Linked DNA regions of Lonchura striata. The protein of the gene in region 1 purifies or fractionates together with the protein of each later gene. This does not show direct contact. Links are inferred from orthologs where the notes say so. Each region holds a gene or a part of one and is shown in the gene's direction. Other genes may lie near its edges. The genes, in order: DNAJB6 and MLF2.

The links.
Region 2: the proteins of DNAJB6 (region 1) and MLF2 purify together in Homo sapiens (affinity purification with mass spectrometry; 3 studies listed by BioGRID and IntAct, with this or other methods). This does not show direct contact. The link is inferred for Lonchura striata from reciprocal best matches to the Homo sapiens genes DNAJB6 and MLF2.

Annotation. Positions count from the first base shown.
Region 1 is NC_134603.1:148,333,844-148,344,922, reverse strand, and holds the start of DNAJB6 (dnaJ homolog subfamily B member 6), read left to right. Parts: upstream 1-6,206; 5' UTR 6,207-6,318; intron 6,319-7,411; exon of another isoform or gene 7,412-7,659; intron 7,660-10,520; exon of another isoform or gene 10,521-10,640; intron 10,641-10,992; exon of another isoform or gene 10,993-11,033; intron 11,034-11,079. UniProt on the Homo sapiens protein: Has a stimulatory effect on the ATPase activity of HSP70 in a dose-dependent and time-dependent manner and hence acts as a co-chaperone of HSP70. Plays an indispensable role in the organization of KRT8/KRT18 filaments.
Region 2 is NC_134604.1:29,630,660-29,641,882, reverse strand, and holds the start of MLF2 (myeloid leukemia factor 2), read left to right. Parts: upstream 1-6,400; 5' UTR 6,401-6,433; exon of another isoform or gene 6,434-6,513; intron 6,514-6,692; 5' UTR 6,693-6,716; coding exon 6,717-6,766; intron 6,767-8,545; coding exon 8,546-8,672; intron 8,673-9,131; coding exon 9,132-9,167; intron 9,168-10,601; coding exon 10,602-10,655; intron 10,656-11,038; coding exon 11,039-11,164; intron 11,165-11,223.

The DNA of each region.
Region 1 (11,079 bases):
AAGCTGGAATTGATAGTGAAGAATGCTACTCTTCAGCAAACACAAAAATTTCTGTCAGCAAACACAAAAATGTCTCAACTGTTTCTGGAATTCTAGCACATGTGGGCTCCTTTGAAGGTACAATTTAGTTTTATCTCCTTTGATAATTAGACTTAATCTTCTTCCCTTTGCTTATTTATTATTTTCTTTGCTAAATACACTTTTAGTTCTTTTAATATTTATAGTTAGTATGGTGCATATTTATTTTTGAATGTTTAGAAATAGCAGCATATATGCTTCAGCTTACCTGCTACTAAAAATGTGGTAGACATAAAACTACAGAAAACTCCTCTTGTAGGGCATTTGCTAATTTGTAACATTAATAAAAAGACAAATGCCCATGTATCTGACCTGTTTTTCAGTATGTATCTGGTAGTCTGGAAAGGGCATTAAATTTCTCATGTGTATAGAGAGACAAAACAAGGCAAGAAGTGATCATGAAGTTAGACAAATTGAATCCATTAGAGAGAACATAGAATAGCTGAAGTCAGGAGGAATGTCTGGAGATCACCTCTTCCAACCCCCAGCTCAAAGCAGGGTCACCTACAGCAGGTTGCAAGACCTTCACCTGTGGAGTTCTGAATGTCTTCTTGGATGGAGAATCCACAACTTCTCTGTGCAATCTGTTTTCAGTGTTCAATTAACTTCACAATAAAACCTTTAAAATCATGTTTAAACACATTTCTTGTATTCCAATTTGTGCCCCTTGCCTCTTGTCCTGTGGGGCAGTACTAAGGAAGCTGAGCCTTTTCCAGGCTGAACAGCATCAGCCTCTCATCATATGACACGGCCTCCAAAACCTCAATCATCTTGCTCTGCCTTGTTAGTGACCCCAGCAGCATCTTCAAAATACCTTTTGTAGAGTTTGATGTGACTGGGGACTGAGTTAAGTGACAGTCTCTTCCTTACCAGATTCCTGTGGTGGTTAATCAGTGGCACTTACCAGGTAAGGTTGGATTTAAGATTTTGTGGCTTTACTTTTTCAACTTCCAGTTCTGCTTTGACTTTTCAAGGATTTTGCAAAACTCTTATCAATGTAAAATAGCAGACTTTGTAAAAACTGATCTCTGAGTTATTTTCACAAATGTTTATAGATAGGTTGCTAAATATTGATATAAAAGCCATAGGATTAATGTTAAATCACCTAACTGTTTATTTGCTTCTGCCACCAACAGTATCAAACACCCAAGTGCAACATCTTGTGCAAACTCCTGTATTTTGACTGTCTTCTGAAGGTCGAGTAGCCCAAAATTCAGCAAATCACATCAGACTGTCAAATAGGAGAAACATAGGCATTCTGACTGGCAAAAAATGGGACATAAAGGCAGGCAGAGATGTCCTGCAGCTTGATTTCACACTGTCAAGGGATGAGCTCTCCTTGTGTGATGATTAAATCGTTGCTACATTTATTGCCAGAATAGTTGCTCTCCAGTCTGGGCCTAAGCTTCCCTGTCCACAGCTCTGCAGAATCATAAATTCTGTGTGCAAAGTTGGTTCATGTATTTATAGGAGCAGCATGCTCAAATTTCCTACTATATTTAACATCATTCTTTTCTGCATTCCCAGAGCAGCTGTTTGTTCATTCTGTGTAACATTTAACTGAAAAGTAGTTTTGCATTATTTCTATTTTATTCCTTGTTTATAGTTATACATAGTTCTTGGTTGCTGAAGAAAGAAACAGGCATTCACCAGATGGTGTTATTTCAGATCCTCCTGCTACTGCTGCTTGCCAAAATGTTAGACCTGGGAAAAGCATCTCTCTCAGTTGCTATGTAGTTTTGCTGTATGTTGTCAAACAAACCTTCTGAAGGAATTGTTTCTTTTAGACCTTGTATCTTTACTTAGGAATTATTTTCATTACAGCTCTGTTTTTCTTTTTTCCCCTCTTCACTTTTCAGGTAAAAAGCAGCAGACCTCAAAGTTCTGCAGAGATACTTTAGGTATAATTATCTGGTAGATCTATCTGGCTATTGATAAAAAATTACATGGAATTAACTAATATTTCACATTGTCACATGGACAAAAAAGCATATCCCTGATCAAGTTAATGAACATAAGTGCTGATCAAGCTGTCCTTGCAAAGAATAAGCATTTTGCATAAGCTGTGAGATTGTCTGACTGCCCCAAACAGTTCTGGGTTGTTTTGTGCAGACCTCAAATAGTCAGCAAAATAGATCTGATATTTCAGGAGGAATTGGCAGAAGCATCAACTATGCTGAAGTGGTTTAAGTACTTTCAAAAGCATTCTCTTAGCTCAGCTTTTTGCACACAAAGAGGAGTCCAGATAAACTTGCAGCCTCTAGATTACCTAAGACACACACACTACAGATGAAAACTGAGGTTGTGCTCAGCAGGAAAACACTGGAGAATGCAAGAGAAATTGGGTTATTTTGTGCTTTTAATGCTTCTACTGAAAGTTTTAAACTCTAGGTGTATTGCACATATTTCAAGTCTAATTGTTTCTGATAAACTATCAGGAAAAAGTTAATGCTTACATTTAATTAAGTGGCACTTTCCAGAATTACTTTGCCAGCAGTACTATAATTAGATGATATGAGAACAGTCTTTGATACATATGCTCATATTCTTTGTTAACACCAAAAATAGAATCTGTAAATCTGTAAATAGAAGAACGGGATGCATTACACAGCAGGGCAGAGCAGCAGGCTGGGAAGGCTACAGCCATTACCACCTCAGGAGGATTAACATTAATGTCTCTCTAATGCAGCATTTTTAAACATTTCTTGTGTTCTGATGGGCTTTATATAATTGACCTCCATAAATCATGAAAGATGGTTTAAAAAAAGCATCTGGGAACCCTGTGAATTGCCAATACCTCCTGGAACACTGCCACGTGATTTCCATCATTAGGTTATAGCTGCCAGTTAGGGCTGAATTCATCTCACTTAACTTCAGGCATCTGTGAGGTGGCATTTAGGGAGAAAAGGCAGCCCTGGGACAGAGCTCTGGTGGGTGGTTCCTTTCCTAAAACACATCTCCAAAGAGGGTGGAAGGAACTGAGCCCTGGATGTGTCCTCTCCTCCCCTCTCTTCACAGTCAATGGCCTTGAACTGGATGTTCGAGACAGCTGAATTTGGGTGAGATGACAAAACCTTTCTCTCATGTTCCCAGAGGAGAGTTGAAAATTCTTAAACAATTAAGATTCTTTGATAGCAGCTTTACTCTGACTCAATGACTTGGCACTTGGATATCAGCCTGGATCTCTGATACCAGCTTTAACAGACCCACAGACCCTCTTTTGTTATTGGAATGTTGATGCTCTGCCAGCAACTCCAGGCTTCTGCTGCAAGCAGCAAGCCATAAAAACACAGGACACTTTGACTTCATACTTTTGAAAATACCTTTGAAGGTGTTCTGAATCAAAAAGCTTTTCAGTTTTATTAGTCCTATACATAGAGCTAATTAAAAATGTTAATGAGCCAGTTATGCAATCCTTTTGGATTTCAATAAAACATTCAGTACTCTCTCTCCCAGGATCCTTGTGGACAAAATGTCCAGCACACAGCTGGATAAACACATCATGGGATGGGCGAGCGTTTGGCTCACGGGTCAGCACCAAGGGTTGCAGTGGATGGGGTGACAGCAGGCTGGTGTCCTGTCCCCACTGGGGTTCCACAGGGCCCAGCCTCAGCCCTGCGCTCCTCAACATCCTCATCAATGACTCGGATGGGATACTAACTAAGTTTGCCAAGGACACTAAACTGGGAGGAGTTGCTGACTCCCTTGAGGGAAGGGAGGCCCTGCAGAGACCCAGACAAATCAGAGGGCTGGGCAATCACCAACCATTTGAAGTTCAACCAGGGCAATCCTGGATGTGTGTGCTTCGGTATCCCCTGCAGTACCTCTTCTGGTGGGCTTTGCCACATGCTATTTTAATTGAAATCACCTGCCTTTCCCTGTAACAGAGAACAGAAAATTAAATATTGTGTGCCAATTTGAGCAAATGTTTAAAAAGTAAATAATTCTTGTTATTGTTCAGGAGATAATCTGAGCTATCAATGACCATAAGTTAAAAAAAAAGAGATCCCCTAATAAATTATATTTGTAATTGGTGGCTCTGTAAACTGCCTCTTCAGAGAAGTATTGGGAAATGTCTTCTTATCTTTTTCAAAGACAAGCATAAACCAATTAAATTTTTTTTATTTAAAAAATAATTATTTTGTTTTCATCTATAACTTTGTTAGGAAACATTTATTAACATTCTCAGTGTTTTGCTGTAGAAAATGCTAAACTACGCTGCCCTCAGCTATGAGCAGGCAATTTACCTTCTCATACCTTCCTTTCTCCAAATGCAAAATTGGTCTCTAAGCTTTCCCAAATGTTATTCCTGTATCTGAAGGATGCTAAAGCAGGGCTATGCTGTTTAGAGTCAGAACAGTGTTAGAAAATCGCTGGGCAGATTAATGTAATGATAACAAATTGTGTTAAAGAAGCCATGGTCCTGGTTGCATTGATGCAGGCAGTGTTTTGATTCCAACCCTCTAGTTCCATATGGAATCATGCTTCTTTGCCATGTTCTGCTTGCTTGGCTAAACAGAAAGTTTTATGGTTGGCATCCATCATATTTAACTGTAAATATAAAATCTGCTCTTATTAAAGCAAAGAGACTTCCTCGTGTGACTTTTGTCTTGTTTACTACAGCTCAGGTTTTAGTACTCTTCACTTTTTTTCTCCCCTGTAATTGGTAATGAAAGGCTGGAGAAAAACCATTATTTCAAGAACAAGAAATGTTTAAAGGATTAAATCAAAATTTTGTATGGTCTCCTCCCTCACCTCACAATACTGACCTGCCTTTGCATTTGCCAGGCTGTGAATCCTCTGAGGTCTGAACTTGGCCCATTAGGAAGAGCCAGTCTAACCCACTAATCCTTTGGGTGTTTTCTTTCCCAGTGGACCAACAACTTGGACTTCACAGCTACTTGCTGATGAGAAACTAATAATGGAGTGAGGTGTCTCTCTGCTCTAATTTTGAAGAATTGTTTCCACGACCACAACATAGCATCAACAATCAACAGTATTTCTTTTGAAGCTTGCATTTCCCCAAAGCACCAAGCCTGTACTTAGGGTTGTCCTACTACTTGTCCTGCTGATTTGTTTTAGGTTTTCCTCTTCCTTATTGCAAGCTGGCTTTTGTCTTTTTGAACTGACCCCACTCCCACACAAACACTTCCTAAATAATGCGTAGCCTTTTCATTGAATTTATTTTGGAAGCATACATTTTAGGCGTGGAAACTCTCTAACTTCATTTTGGTGAGCTATAAATTAATGCCTCCACTTTTTAAATTAGGGGCAAGAAATATAATTTTACAGCAATTTAAAGCATGGATAAAATCTATATTTTAGAATTAAAATAGTAACTTTGTTGCTTTATACTTTGCTCTCAACCATGGCACTCAGAAAACCACATACTTGAATATAACACAAAGGATGCTCCAATATATTCAGCCAGTGCAGGGCGCTACATGCATGGAGAGGAATCTGACCTCAAAGGAATTGTGTGCCAGAGTTACAATTTTTGAGACTCCAACTTTAAACACACAAAGGGGAAAAATTTTTGGTATCTCACCTTGAGCACCCAAACTCACCTATTCAAAGAATGTTTGTTAAAATTGTTGTTTTTTCACCTTTTCCTACAGCACCACACCCAGGCATCACTTTTTGCAATTCCCTCACAGAATCCCAGCAGGGGTCAGGCTGGAAGGGTGATCCCAGAGCCCGTGGCACAGGATTGTGTTTAGATGGCTCTGGAATACCCAGTGTGGGAGACTCCACAGCTCCTCTGGGCAGCCTGTTCCAGTGCACGGTCACTGCACACTAAAGAAGTTCTCCCTCACGTTCAGGTGGAAATTCCGTGCCTCAGTTTCTGCCCATTGCCTCATCTCCTCTTGCTGGAGCAGAGCCTTGTCCATGCTCTTGCCACCCCCAGTTTTTGAGAGTACAGACACAAAAGTGGAAGAATTTTTGCCATCTCACTTCTCAGCTATTCAAAGAAGGTTTCTTAACCTTTTTCTTTTTCTTTTTTGCCTGTTTTGCTGCACACCCGGCCCTCAGAAGCCCCGCCCCGGCGCCGCGGGCCGCCGGCAGGGGGCGCTCTCCGCTCGCACGGGAGCCCGGCGGGGCCGTTCCAGAAACTTCCGGAAGCGGCGGGGCGGAAGCGGCGGCGCGCGCTGGCGGCACTTCCTGTTTGCGGCCGCTGCCGTTGGTGCCGGCGGGAGCGGCGGGCGGGGAGCGGCGGCCGCGCTGCGGAGCCACCGGCGGGTGAGCGCGGGGACCTCGGCCCGGGGCTGCCCGGCCGCGGCCGTGCGGCGGGCGGAGGGCGGCGGGGAGCGGCCGCTTGGCCGGGCCGCGGTGCCGGGCAGCGGCGTGCCTGGTAGCGGGGCCTGCTGGCGGCGGTGGAGCGGCCGCGGGTGCCGCGGCGGCTCTGCTCGGCCTTGGCGGGGCTCGGGGGTCGCTGGGAGCTCGGGGAGGCAGCGGCTGGCCAGGGCTGCCCCCGGCGGGACAAACCCCGGGACGTTCGGTGCCAGCCCGCTCTGCCGCAAGGCAGAAAAAAAATTCCGGATTCCCATTCCTTGCTCACAGGGGTGTCAACTCCCAGGGGATGAGGGCGAGCCTCGTTTCGTTAAACACACCTTGTCCTTAAAGCGCTTTTTGTCGCAGGGTGCTGCCTGGGCGGCTTGCGAGCGTTGTGGCCTCCTTTTTTCTGCCAGTCCCTGAAAGGAGATGGCGATGAGCTGCGGGCCGTGCCTGCAGACAGAGAGAGGATCAGTGGAAATGGCCTTAAGATGAGACGGCGTGATTCAGATTAGATAGTGTAAAAAATAGTTCACATTTAGGGTGGCCAGCCATTGGAATAGGTTGCCTAGGGTGGTGGTGGAGTCGGCAGCTTTGGAAGTGTTCGGGAGCGGCTGGATGTGGCGCGGGGCGGGTTTGTGGTTAAGGGACGCAGTGGCGGTGTTGGGGGGTGTTTGCCCTGGGTGATCTCAGAGGCGGTGTTGGGGATGTTTGCCCTGGGTGATCTCGGTGGCGGTGTTGGGGGGTGTTTGCCCTGGATAATCTCAGAGGCGGTGTTGGGGGGTGTTTGCCCTGGATAATCTCAGTGGCGGTGTTGGGGGGTCTTTGCCCTGGGTGATCTCGGTGGCGGTGTTGGGGGGTGTTTGCCCTGGGTGATCTCAGTGGCGGTGTTGGGGGTGTTTGCCCTGGGTGATCTCAGTGGCGGTGTTGGGGGTGTTTGCCCTGGATAATCTCAGTGGCGGTGTTGGGGGTGTTTGCCCTGGGTGATCTCAGAGGCGGTGTTGGGGGGTGTTTGCCCTGGGTGATCTCGGTGGCGGTGTTGGGGGGTGTTTGCCCTGGGTGATCTCGGTGGCGGTGTTGGGGGTGTTTGCCCTGGGTGATCTCAGAGGCGTTTTCCACCCCTGGTGACCGTACGCCAAACGAGCTGTGATTCTCCCCCGATGGAAGCAGTTCGGTTTCGTTGCTCAGTGTTGATTACTCGGGGTGCCGGCAGGAGGGAGGTTTGTTGTGGGTGAGGTCGGCAGAGGTCGGGTGTTTTGAGCTCGCTGTTGCCAGGTTCCGAGCCGAGGTGAAAACTGATACTGCCAGGTAAGGAACACTGTTTGTCGTCAGTATTTGTTGCACTTCAGAGGGGACAGCAGGCTGGGTTTACCACTCGCGTTCCTGTTTGCACCAACGCTTTGTGTTGTGTTGCTGTCTGAGCTCTCCTTGGCTGCTGAAAACGTGCTGCGACCATGCTAACAAAGGTGTTAGAAATAATTCACAATACTGAACAAATCTGTTCTAAATTGTGGTAATAATAAACTACTTATTTAGGCACGGTAGCATGAAATCTGCGTTTACTATGTGCAAATAGTTAGACTTGTGTCATTGCATAGTCAGTGATCAAACCCAAGAGTTTTTAGAGTATAAAGTGTCAAAAAGTGATAAGAACAAGGTGCTGACATAAGGGACCACTGGGATGAAGCAAGGCTCTGCCTCTCTGGTCTTGCAGCAGAGGTTGCAGTCACTGCTGTCTGCTGACCTTAATTTTTGTTTACTCTTTGGAGATCCTTGTACTCCAGTTAGGGATTTTATGTTCAGCTGGTGATCAAGAGCCTAATAGTGAAAATACCATTTAGTTTGATGGATTATGTTGTCAAAGAAGATTTGTTTGGACCAATGAATAAGTGTATTTACAGATCTTGTCTGCGTGATTACTTTTTTTATTGCAAACAACCAGAATTTTAACTATTGCACAACACTAGTCTAACTTTGTGTACTCCCCTTGGCTCCTGTGCTGACTTCTCAGTGGAGAATAAGAGTGTTGAAAATAGAAGTTAAATTAGTGTTAAATTTTCTTAAATAATCTCTATTAGAGTAGAAATTTAAATTGCTGCTTTTATTGGCAGCACTGTTTAGACTACAATGCTACTAATAATGTAAACTAAATCTGTAAAGTGCAGAGTTCCCCTTGTTCTCCATCAGGCTTGTCTTTTTAGTACTTGTGCTTTCAAACTACAGCAGATTCTTATCCAGGCAGCTTCTCTCTCTGGTTATTTTCTCTGTCCTTCCCAGATCGATGCAGATTGCTAATTTATCTTGGCAGAGCTTGGGAAGAAGGCATGCAGGGCTTTACTTTTGTGTAACACTGAAGTTTTAGTTAGAGGCTAACGTGTTTTGGTACTGACTTTTTAAAAATAGATGAATAGATTTCTTTGCGAACTCTATTCTTTCTTTTATCCATTAGAAGTTTTGGAATGTATGCGAGGAGAGGGAATAATTTACGTTAAATCATCATCATCATTTTATGTAGGATATAGGCGTTCCTAACAGCGCACGAGAAACGACCACCAGGTTTTTGGTCTGTTGTGCGTCTGTGCCTCAACGCGCTCGTTGGCGCAGCGAGGTCTGCGAGCGGGGGCGGCGGGTGCGCTCTGCCCGCTCCGGAGCCCGGCACGGGCGGAAATGTCCGCGCCCCTGCGAGCCCGGGAGGGCACGGCCCGGCCCCTGCGAGCCCGGGAGGGCACGGCCCGGCCCCTGCGAGCCCGGGAGGGCACGGCCCGGCCCCTGCGAGCCCGGGAGGGCACAGCCCACCCTGCACAGCCCTGCGAGCCCGGGAGGGCACGGCCCGCCCTGCACTGCACAGCCCGCACTGCACTCAGACTTCCCGGGGCACATCCACCGCTTCTGAAATGTGGAGCCATGCTCTGAAGGGAATTCGTTGCTGTAATTTTAGACTTAGCTGTGTGAGGTTTATGTTTAAGCGATGTGCTCCTTAAGTAGGTAGTGCTCCATATCTCTAATAGCATTTGTAAAGAATCTCCTCAGTTGTGTCCTGGAAACATTTCCTGACAAAGCTTTTCCTTTGTCTTTTTCAAGCAATGGAAAGATTAGTGAGAAATTACTTAGCTTTGCCAAAACTTGTTGGATCTTGCATATGATGCTTGTTTCTTTTAGGATAGATTTAAAATAAAACTCTAGTTGAGGGTATTAGTAGTTTAAATTATATTTTCTTCTGAATGAAATACATTTCAATGGATGTTAGACTTTCTTTACTTTAGACGTAATGAAATCATTCTGCTTTATTTATTTAACTGCTAGGGAAAAAATAATTCATGCATATACATTACACTCCTACAGTTACTAGTTGTAGGTTTTGTTTTCTATTTGTTCTGAATACTGAAATCCCACTGGTGTTAGTGAGTACTCAGTACTTAAGGATCTTAAAGGCCATATAGTAAGTCTGAAGCCATTTATAGCTACACTGTAGCAAGTTTTTATTAAAACATTAATTTTTCTCATCAGAATTGTTCTTTTTATCTTAAAATGTAGTCTGAATTGGTAAGTCTGTCAACACTCTGATAAGAACTTACTCTTTGCTTTAATGAAGCTTATTTTTCTTTTTTCTTTTTGTTTGGCTTAAATAAAGTAATCATGACTCAAAAACAGTTCAGGGGAAATGTGTAGAAACTTTGAACTATTTTCCCTGTTTTCGTTTCCCTAAAGGATTGTCTGCATGTGATTTGCCTAAAACTTTCTGGGCCATGTCTTTCAGTTGAGGCTTTCACTATTTTTAATTGCTTAATCATATGCAGATCATATATTTTTTGAAATAAAACATGACTTTTACTTCCTATAAAATAGCCTTTTATGGTTAGTTTTAGGAAAGTGACAGTGTTCCAGATATTTGTGACACAATTCCAAATTTGGACACCTGAGTTGTTTTGCTCCTTTGCTTTAAGGAAAGATCATTAGTAAGTCCCCCATTATCAGAGATCAGATGGATAAACAGAGGAGAGTCTCAGCTCAAGAGAGTGAGGGTGGCCTGTTGACTGATCAACATCCTTTCCTGTTATTTGTTAGCCAGTTTACATTTCTTTCACAGATGAAGAGTTTGAATTTCTTCTGTTTCCATTTTTGGTTGGCTCACTCTTTTTTAATGGTTTCTTACTTGTTGCCCTCTACAGGCTTTCCATGTGCCAGGCAGCAATACAGATCAAGTCCTGTAAATCGTGCCAGAGTTGTGTTTGCTGCCCTTGAGGAGGAGAGGAGTGGACAGGATTCTTTGTAGCTTCCTGCCTTAAGGGGTGAGGGCCTCTCTTGTTTGGCTGTGGTGGAGTTTTATTGTTGCTGGCTTTTCTACAATGGAATATGAACTGTGAGGTAAAGCAGTCAGCCCAGCTGCCTTCTTCCTGTGTGAACTGGTATAATAATAACAAGTGTATCCAAATCCACTCTGCTGTCTGACATACAAGCAGGATGTTTGCTGTAAACATGAGATTAAACTAAGCTTTTTGGAATGTTTGTTTTATTAAATTCATCTCTGGGGATGCTGAGGGAATATTAAAATAATGAGCATAAACATGGTTATTTAAGTACATTTTCTTAATTTGAATTATATGGTAAATGGACATTTTTCTGTGAAACAATAAATTTCAGGAACCTGTGAAGTTAAACTGTGACGGCTTTTCTAAGCTTAGGTAAGTAAAAACTAAAGGTATCAAAATTGTGGATATGCTTTAGTCT
Region 2 (11,223 bases), on another chromosome or scaffold:
CCCTGGTTTGGTACAAGTACTCCTCTTTCATCCTTCCCTTTCACAAGAAGAAAATCTTAATTTCTAGATATACACCTAAAACAGGACCCAAAGTAATCTATATAGGGGCCGGATGGTGTTCCTCTCTGCTTTCTGCTTGACAGAAGGTGCGTGGCTCATTGCTCTGCTGTTCTCCTCACCAACCCAGAATTTATTTTCCAGGATCCTCTTCCTTTACACACTCAACCACTGAAAACACATAATTACATTGACACATATCCCTTGGCAAAGACATCTTCACATTAATGCACAAACAGGCCTTGACACAACATCCTAGAGGGGAGAAAGCAAAGGATTACGTTCAGGGATGTTCCCGTGCCCAAAGCTCCATGTTCACACAGGCTGCGAACCCACAGATGCAAATTGACAAACACCTGTTTGTGCAAGGGGAGCTTGTTTCCAGCTACCTGTGGGATGGCGCTGTTGGGTCAGCATGGGTCAACTACAAACTGGCATGGCAGCAGCAAGCTCTCCTTTCCTCCCCAGCACCTGCAGTGTGCAACTTCACATTGTCACTTCCATGCTCCCCACCCCATCCCCTTTGCAATTTTTCCCTCATCTGCTGCTTCTTGGCATTTGTCTCCTACCTGTGTTCTTGGCAGCACTCTCCCCATGGCCCTCTCCCCGGCTTCTCTTTGTGACATCCTGTATCTTACATGCAAAATTCATTTCACATCCCCTCCTTTGTTTTTCATGTCCCATTTTGCCCTGCATTATTGTATCAACTATGCTTTTCCCCTTAAATCCAACATTAAATTCTTCTTCATTCCTTGTCATCTGCCTGTTTCTGCATTCTGACTCTTCTTGCCCTTTGGATCCTGGTAGTGAGATTTGCTGGGCTTCTAGTGTGCAGCTGCCTCCCTCAAGCCCTGAGGATATCCACTGACTGTCTCACCTAGCTCTTCCCTGTGACTTCTGCTCCTCCACCTGATCTGTGCCACTCTGCATTTCGCCTGCCAGATTGATCTGCAGCTTTTCTCTGCTCCTCTCTCCCATCTGTGCCTTCCCCTCTGCTGCAAATGCAAGTACACTCATTGTGAGCTCTGCAGATGTCAGTCTCTGCTCAGTGCGTTCCGTAGTCTTTGTCTGTAGTTGCTTTGCCAACTCAGCAGAACATATTCCATCCTTTTTGGAGACTTATGTCCTTAGACAAAATGAGGGAGGTGCAGAAGTTACATGACAGATCATTGTGTGGAACAGACACTCTCCGTGTCTGCCTGCAGCCCAGACAACAATGGGAATGTAATTTTCTCCGTGCAGTGTCACAATTTTGGTACTGTACCCTGTTTGTGCTTGGTGTTTATGTAGGTGTGCGCATGTGTTTAGGTGCAGTACATACCTGGTTGTGTACAGAGGGGATATTTTCCCCCTGTTACATTCTTTTACTTTTGTGAGTGTAGAAAGTATGGTACTTTTCTACTGAGGTGTGCCTTGAGCTTGCAGGCATTTGCCAACATACGTGAGCACGTGGTTGAGATGTGTTAGGGCTTTCATGCGTGGTATCTATTTTTCTTCTCCCAGCAAATGTGGGGTGAATGCACCTAGAAGCAATTATTTATGCATTTTGGTCTATTACCTTGCTAGTCATGCCACTATGTTCTGATGGGGGCAGAGGGGATGGTGACTTTTGTGTTTATTTTGAAGGCTGAACTAACTGCGAGCCATTTTCTGAGCAAAAGCAAAACACAAAAACTGGGTATTTTAAGAATTATATTTACTGAGCTAACTCCTAAGTGGTTCCAAACTGTTTGCTGAATAACAAAAGAGCAGAAGGATGTGTATTTGCATTAAATTTTCTTAGATTTACATAAATGCAGAATATCTGTCCTTTCACGTACAGCAAAAGTAGCAAAATCTCAGTGTGCAGAGGGAATCTGCTTGAATGCATTTATGTATTTAAGTCACGCTGTTCATCTTTCTGTACTGTGTCCACTAAAAATCCCAGCAGATAATCCGCTTTGTTCTTCTTCCGCTATGCCATATAGTGAAGTTAAGAGGAAAGACCCAAGAATTCAACCACCGGCCAACTTTGCATTGGGAAATGGCTTCCTGAGAGGCAGCATATTTAAATAAGCCCTGCAGGAGGGCTGGGAAGCAGGGTAGGTAAAACAAGGAGAAGAAGCAAGAGGAGTAGAAGGGAATGACAAGGGGTGACACAGCCTGTCAGAAGACTGGAAAGAGGAGGGATGTTTTCAATCGTGATTTTTTTGTGAGCCTGTCTTTGCTAACGCAGCACAGATGGGAGGTCGTGGTTCTCACTCACAGTGTGACAGACACACTCTTAACACGAGCAAAATATTCTGAAAGTAATCGCTGCCACGCAACGCAAGCTGCAGCCACCACAAGCTGGCTGTAGCATCCCGAATATGATTTTTCCCATTTGAGGATCAAATCAGAGCTGTCCTTCACTCGGGGTGCCCTTCATCTGAGGTCAGAGTCAGTTGTTGGGTGAGGATTACGTAAGAGGCACAGATGAAGGGAACCAATGAGGAAATGGCTGTGGGTAGCTCTGACTTCTGGTAACGAGGTTTTCTTTGTCTTCCAGACGTCCACGGGGCTCCTCTGCGGCGTTCGGGCGCGTTACGAAGCTGTTCCCGGCCCCAGCGCTGGGTGCGTGCCGGCAGCAGGTAGCGAGGCAGGGTTTCTCACCCTGCCTTTATTTGCCTCCGCCAGGCGATGCTCAGTTCGCTTTCCCGGGGCCGGGAAAAACCCCTGGGGGTGCCGGGGGTGCCGCGGGCAGGCGAGGCGGGGCCGGGCAGCGGCGCCGTTCATCGCCTTCCGAGCCGCCCTTCGCTCGCCGCCGCCGCGCCGCCCGCCGAGCGCTGCTCCCCGCCCCCGCCGCCCCGGCACGGCCCGGGCAGCTCAGAGGGAATAAAGAAAGGAAACGGAGAGACATCATGGTTCTTGTTCATGGCGAAAAGAGAAGCGGCCTGAATAGAGGGGAGCGAGATGGGAGCCTTGCTTCTCACTCACAGCCCCGTGTCGCTCGTTGTTCTGGCCATCCCCTCGGAGCACCTCGGGCACTGCAGCAACAGATCCTGCATTCCTCACGACCGTGCCCTTGTCCAAATTCCACAGAAAGGTTGCCGTTCTAATTCCCGCTCCCAGGGTTTCACGCAGCGTTTGCTATCACCGTGAATCTCTGCGAGCAAGGTTTGCGCATGGTGGTTTCGGCAGACCTCGAGGTTTGCTGAACTGGCAATGGCCCCGGAAATGCAGCCTCTGGTAAAGCGTCCATCAGGTGTAAGGACTGCCTGTAAGGCTGCAGAAATACCCAGGGAGAGCCACAGCCTCAGCCCCCAACCTCACAAACTCAGCCCTTAGGTTGCACTTGCAGAGGAGCAGCATTAGGGACAGAAAAAAGGATCTGCAGAGCCGTGTTTGTTCCAGACAATTTCCTGTTCCTTTCCCCTCTGTGTTTGAAGGCAGCAATGCCTGACTTATACTTTGGAAAAACTGAGAGAGCCCTACCATCTCTGGGACATTGCAGGAGTGGGAGGATCACTAGTATCCAGGGACCAGGAATTTATTTTATCCCAGATCTGGAGAAAAGAAGAAAGAAAGAAAAAAAAAAAAAAAGAAGAAAACCAAAAGAGATGTTTACATTTCTGCCCTAGAAGATCTTTACCTGCCTTTGCATCCTGACACTTGAGGTCAACTCCGCACTCCAATCAAACACCAGAGCGCCTCAGAACAAAAGGAAAACACACCAGACAGGAAAGGCTTTCCAGACTGGAGGTCTCTGAAGGATGATTCAGGTTTGCAGAAGCAGCATCAGAGAAGTTGAGGCAGCACCACCAAGGGCTTTGTGTGAACTTCAGCACTCACAGATGAGTTCTGAGCTGGTGACAGGAGTCAGAGTCAGCAGCTCACTTACAAACAACCTCCCTCCAAGAGGTTTGGCCCTTCCCATAGGACTTGTGTCCACATCACGATCCTGCACCATTTTGCTGTTGACAGTTCCCCTTTTGTGGACGTTTTGGTTTCAGCCTCTGCAGAATGCAATTACTGCGTACACAGAAGGGACTTCTGAAGAGCTTTCTGTATGCACACAGGCACAGGCCTCCCGTGAGAGGTCTTCTTTCTCAATACTGAGCAGTTTTGAGACCTGCTGTAGCAAGAAATATTGCCAAGTCCTCTATGCATTCCACACGTGAAGCATGCTACTGGGTCATTTTCCTCTGTCAGGCTCCAAAATCCAAGGACATGGCTCCTGCCACAACTCAGGAGCTCCGTTTCTCAACCACTTCTTGCAGCCTGCTATTTCCAGTCCTCTGGCACGAATCCAGTCTGGCTCCTACACGTGGTGGGCCGGATGCAACAGTCACCAGAAGCACCAGTGAGGAAGCGTGCCCTGGGCTGGAGCTGGGATGAGTCAGTCTGCTCTCTTCCCTGTAATCCAGTGGGGCTGGTGGTAGCTGAAGGGACCCAGCACTCCCCAGAGATGGTGACAGAGGTGTCATCCCCCTGCTTTCTGGAGACTCCCCACCACTGCAGTAGGTGCACACAAGTACCTAAGCTGTGCCTGTGATTCCCAGTGGCTGTCCAGGATCAGTGATGACCCACAGCTGGCTTACAAAGTATCCTCCCTGCTTCCCCAGCAGAGCACTGCGTGCACTCGCTGTCCATGTGCTCAGCACAGACGAGCAGCTCTGTGGGTGCCTCCTACGTGCCCATGCCATGCAGGAAGCCTGGGATAAGTGCTGCCTCTGCAGCAGCCAGGCAACGCTGTGGACTCTGGCCAGGAACCAGCTGGCCGCGAGCCACAGGGATTACTACAGAATCACAGAATATTCCGAGTTGGAAGGGACCCACAGGATCGTCAAGTCCAGCTCCTGGCCCTTCACAGGACCATCACCAAGAGTCACACCATGTGCCTGAGAGTGTTGTCCAAACACATCTTGAATTCTGTCAGGCTTAGTGCTGTGGCTGCTTTCCTGGGGAGCCTGTTCGAATGCCCAGCTACCCCATGGGTTAAAAACCTTTGCCTGATATCCAGCCTAGACCTCCCCTGACACAAGCTCAGGCCATTCCCACGGGTCCTGCCACAGAGAGAAGCGATCAGTGCCTGCCCCCGCGCTGGCCCTGCTGGGGAGGCTGAGCAGAGCGACGGGGCCTGCCCGGTGCCTCCGTTACCACTGCATCCTCCCATTCCCATTCCTACTCCCACTCCCACTCCCACTCCCACTCCCACTCCCACTCCCACTCCCATTCCCACTCCCATTCCCACTCCCATTCCCACTCCCGTTCTCGTTCCCGTTCCCATTCCCATTCCCACTCCCACTCCCATTACTATTACCATTACCACTCCCATTCCCATTCCCACTCCCACTCCCACTCCCATTACCACTCCCACTCCCATTCCCATTCCCACTCCCATTACCACTCCCGTTCCCATTCCCATTCCCGTTCTCACTTCCATTACCACTCCCATACCCACTCCCATTCCCATTCCCACTCCCATTCCCATTCCCACTCCCATTCCCACTCCCATACCCAATCTCATTCCCATTCCCACTCCCATTACCACTCCCACTCCCATTCCCATTCCCACTCCCATTACCACTCCCACTCCCATTCCCATTCCCATTCCCATTACCACTCCCGTTCCCACTCCCATTCCCGTTCTCACTTCCATTACCACTCCCATACCCACTCCCATTCCCATTCCCACTCCCATTCCCATTCCCACTCCCATTCCCACTCCCATACCCAATCTCATTCCCATTCCCACTCCCATTACCACTCCCGTTCCCATTCCCATTCCCACTCCCACTCCCATTCCCACTCCCACTCCCATTCCCATTCCCATTCCCATTCCCATTCCCATTCCCATTACCATTCCCACTCCCACTCCCACTCCCACTCCCATTCCCATTCCCATTCCCATTCCCATTCCCATTCCCATTACCATTCCCACTCCCACTCCCATTCCCATTCCCATTCCCATTCCCATTCCCACTCCCATTCCCACTCCCATTCCCATTCCCATTCCCACTACCATTCCCACTCCCATTCCCATTCCCACTCCCACTCCCACTCCCATTCCCATTCCCATTCCCATTACCATTACCATTCCCATTCCCATTCCCATTCCCATTCCCATTCCCATTCCCACTCCCATTCCCACTCCCACTCCCACTCCCACTCCCACTCCCATTCCCACTCCCACTCCCATTCCCACTCCCACTCCCACTCCCACTCCCACTCCCACTCCCACTCCCACTCCCACTCCCACTCCCATTCCCGTTCCCGGGCTGCCCGGCGGGAGCTGGGGCCGGGGGCGCCGCCCGCGGGGGCGCCAGGGGGCGCTGTGCCGCGCGGCCCCGCCCCGCCCGCGCCCTGCCCCGGGGCGGGCGCGCATGCGCGGCGCGGGCGGGGCGGAGGCAGCGCGGTGCGGGGCGCGATGGGCGCGGGGGCGTGAGCGGCCCGGGGGCTCGGGCAGCGCCGAACCGGGACCGCCGGCACCGGCAGGCACGGCGGGGCGGGGGCGCGGCGGGTGGGCCGGGCCCGGGGGGCAGCGGTGCCATCACCCGCCCCGGCTGGCGGCGGGGCGGGGCGGGGCGGGGCGGGGCGGGGCGGGGGGGCGGCTCCGCGCTCCGCCCCGCCCGCCCTCAGCCCCGGCTGCGCTCACCGCCCTCTCCGCTCCGCAGAGGCCGCCCCCGAGCGAGGGAAGCATGTTCCGGCTGATGCGGGATGGCGAGCCGGAGGACCCCATGTTTGCCATGTGAGTCGGGGTGGGCGTCCTGCGGGGGGTCGGCGGCAGGGCTGCGGCACGGAGCGCCCCCGGGGAGGGGCGCGCTGCCCGCGTCCCGCCGGCGGGCCGGGCCGGGCCGGGCCGGGCCGGGCGGGCCGGGAGCGCCGCCGCAGCAGCGCAGCTCTCCGGGGACGGACGCAGACATCCTCCGGAGGGGCAGCGCGCCCGGCAGCAGCGACCGCGTCCGACTCCTTTCTGCGCTACGGCAGCGTGGTCTTGGAGGAAAGCGTAACAAAGTAGGCCAAAAGGCATCGCAGCTGTCTTGAGAGGAAGAGAGGGCTGGAATCATAACTAATCTTTTTCTTTGCGCAAGGATTTTTTTTTGTTTCATTATGCAAACTAGGGTTGCAGTTGAGATAGATAAAATCTGCTGCTCTGTCCAGTGTTTGTTGCTGTTCTGCACAGGAAGTCATTAATGGAGCTGGAGAAGGCTGCTGAAGCAGTTGTCAAGTTGTGAGGAACAAAGTAAAGACAAAACAACGAGTGGTTTTGAAACACAAGTATTGAAATCTGACAAAGCTCCCAAGAGCTGTTCCTGGGATTCCTTTCACTGAATGTTTTTGTTTCTGTCCTCAGTACAGAAATTGGATGCTATTGATAAATTTTGGCAGTGACGCTTAAGTTGGCAGCCTTGCTAAAGTGGAAAAGGAATAGACTGTAATACAGGAAGAATTTGATTATGTTAAACAAGACATTAGTAGAAATTTGGTGAAATTTATGTATGTAGAAGAATAGTCAATTTATTAAATCAATAGTAAGCAAGAATTTTATCAGCTGTGAGCAAATTAGCAGGAGAGGAGACCTTGATGTCCCAGTTAGTCACCGAATGACAGTGTGTTCTCATTAACATGACAGGTATGAGTCTAGCTTTTATTATGGGAAGCATTTCCAGTAGAGACAGAAAAGTATTGGTTTTAAGTATTTAAGTAGTGGGTGCTTCTGTCATCTCAGGAATAATCTGTGCTATAGAGGTCATTAAAACTCAAGAGGGATAATTGCAGGCTACAAGATGAGCAGGAAAAAAGCTATGGTATTTCCCAGAAGTTTCTTATTGTGGCCACCCTGTTCTATGACTCTTTACCCTTACCCTCCTTTTCCTCCTCTTGCTTCACCAACCTGTGTGAGTGTGTGCAGCCCTCAAAGTGGAGGCTGAAAGAGAAGGGAAAACCAGTTAGGGATCCCAGTTATTGTTCCCTTTCTCCCTCAAATCTGGAAAAGCTGTATGTGGTCTCACGCCCTGGGGGGCAGAGGGATGCCAGGCTGTGCAGTACAGTCTGGAGGTTCCAGTCTTGCATTTCACTGTTTGTGTCTGTGTACATGGAAGGGTGAGGGGATGATATATGGGATTCTCTTGCTCCCTGGTGCCTAAGTGTAGCCCTCACCTTGCAGCCAGGAAGGTCTTTGTGCACCTCCCTCTAAAAGATGTTGGAGCATTGAGGTTTTGGAGTGGTTTTGACCATACTTGGCTCCAGAGCACTACTGAAGCAGAACACCAACCTGCTTCTGAGCAGACAGAAATTAGTACCTGAGAGGGTTTCTGCGGTATGAAACCTTCTATCACAAGAAATGTGATTGGATCCAGAGATCCCTTCCAGCCCCTGTAATCACCATAGACAACACAGACTACACAGGATTCTCAATTTCCAGCTTGGGAAGGACTGTACAGTTGTGTAAGAAAAACACAGAGCTGGGAGGAGCGGATTATATGGGGCTTTATCCTCACCATTGTTCTCTCCACCTCTCCAAAAGGGATCCTTTTGCCATCCACCGGCAGCACATGAACCGCATGCTGTCTGGGAGTTTCGGGTTCGGGCCGCTCCTCGGCATCACGGATGGCACCACACCTGGGGCTCGCCAGGCTGGCCGCAGGATGCAGGTAACGCAGGCTGAGTACAGGCTAGAATTTCCCAAACTGATCTGTCACTTTCTGTCTCCCACCCCTCCTGGCTTGGGCACGCCCCCTCTCCTCCACACAGGTGCAGAATAAATCTCTTAGGCAGTGGTGTTCTGGTCCTTCTCTTTATTCCACCTGTATTAAGGTGTTGAAGGCAACAGTGTTCTAGGTTGGGCGGGAGGAAAGGAATAAATACGTGTTGTTTCTCAAGGATGTGAATTCATATAATGGGGAGAAATTTAGGAGCATCACCTCATGTCTGGTTCATCAGGGGTGATATGGCTTGAACGCCAGGAATCCGTGGGGTGCTTTCTTGATCTGTTTGTAGAGCCTGAGTGTTCCCAGTTCTGTTTCTGAGAAGGATTATTGTGTTCTGATGAGGATCTAGTGTTTGGCTGTTGCAAAGTCATTCTCTGTTCTGCTTTTCTGTTCTCCTGGCAGGCAGGAGCTGTTTCACCCTTTGGGATGCTCGGCATGGTAAGTTTTCTGTTTTTCTGGGTCAGATTAGAGGCTTTCCAAGTAGTGGCTCCATACTGAGATTCATCAGCACTGTGTGCAACCGGTGCTAAAATGTAGCCATCTGTGAGCGTGACCAGCTATCCTACCAGGTGGGGAGGATGGAAATGTCTGAGGATACCAGGATGAGCTTTAGATTTATAGTAAATGGAATAGGGAAGAAGGTATTGAACTGAAACTGGAAGCATCTGGTTTCTCCTGGACCTCTCATTGAGTTGTTTTATGACTTCAGGCCTTTACCTTGTTTCCCCTCTAATGTTTTAATCCTGTCCGTGAGCTGTTTTTGAAGAGAGAGTCTAACTCTGTGTATATGGGGAAGTTGTATTTGCACCTTGACCAGGGAAAAGTCATAAAGCTGTTATAGCACAATATTTCATGGGAATTGGGACAGTTAATATCTGGGAAGAGCAGGTAGTCCCTTAATAACCTCATATGTCTGAAAAGAAGCTGCAGAGCTGGAGGTAATGGAGGAGCTGTGAGGATGGGAGGAAAGGACTTGGCCATCAGTAGACAGAGGGGATTATTGCACCTCCTTTGCCAGTGGTGGCAGCTGGAGAAGCCAGCAGAATTCTTCAGGTAAGCAGGGCTGGAATGAGAATGGCTGTGTGTACGTGAGAACACCGCACTCGGAGCGTGCTGATCTCCGTCTTCCGCCGAAATAATACAGTGCAAATAGGTTATTCCAGATCCAGCAACTTCAGCTGCCTTGCTCTGCAGAATTGCCTCAATGAAAGAGACTCCAGCGTCCTGGAATTTTTGTAGCTCAGAGGAGGATTAATAAGACTACAAACACATAGACTTCAAAGCATAATAACATTGTGTGTGAGTACTGCTCTGCTGGAAACGAGAACAAGAGGCTACTCGAGGAAACAAAAAAAAAAGAAATCAGCAAGTTTGAACTGACATTGTAATTTTGTTTACATATTGCACAATTAACCTGTGAGACTTGCTGGCCCAGGGTGTTACTGCAGTGTTCAGGTTTAAAGAGTGGAAAAGGCAGGTGTTTGTAGGGGAAAATAAGCAAATTTGTTTTTATGCTAGAAAGAAAACAATCAGTGGAAACTTTCTTAAGATCACTGTTAGTGCACATGCTGAGAATCATTCTCCTAACTTTGCTGAGTCCCCAGGCTTACAAACCCCAGTGCATCGGCAGTTGGATCCAAGCTAAAAGAACAACCTTTGCCAGAACATTGGGCAATGCAGCCTGAGAGAATGGAGAGAACAGCAACCCCAAATTCTGTTGGCTTTTTTTTTCCTGCGCTACTGAAAGAACGTGAAGAAAAACCAAAGGTTCTTCTTCTTAGGCAGCAGATTTTTTTGCAGATAGTTTGTTGTTCTTTCCTCATGTTTCTTCCCAGACTGACTACTCTTGTGTTTTCTTTTCCTTTTTATTAGGCAGGTGGCTTTATAGATATGTTTGGGATGATGAACGACATGATTGGAAACATGGTAAGAACCCTCCATGAACTGTTCTGTATTGAGGGGAGTCCTGAGGGTACTTCTGCCATCCCTCTAATGTCTCTTACTGACTGAGCCACACCTGCCAAGGTGGCAGAGGCTGTAAGCTTTGCTTCATCGCTGGGAGTCAGTGACAGGACTTGTTCCTGAGTGCAGGGAGAGGAGAGGGGTGAGGAAGGAAGCGTGTGGGTGGACATGTTTAGCAAGAAATAAGTATTAATTTAACAGAAAGGTGTATTCTCCAGAAAAAATGGCCCCATGGGGATTATATTCATCCTATTGTAACTTCTTACTTCATTGTAGAGAGGGAATTAAATGCTATCTCTTCTTCCCTCCCATCCTTTCTTTCCACCATTCCCCATTCCTTCTTGCAGGAGCATATGACAAGTGGTGCTAACTGCCAGACATTTACCTCCTCAACTGTCATCTCTTATTCCAACCTGGGTGATGGGCCCAAAGTCTATCAGGAGACCTCAGAGATGCGTTCAGCACCTGGCGGGGTAAGGAGGAGGCTGCTGGCTTTGCTGTGAGGGGTTGGGCTTTGTTTGGTGGCTTTGTG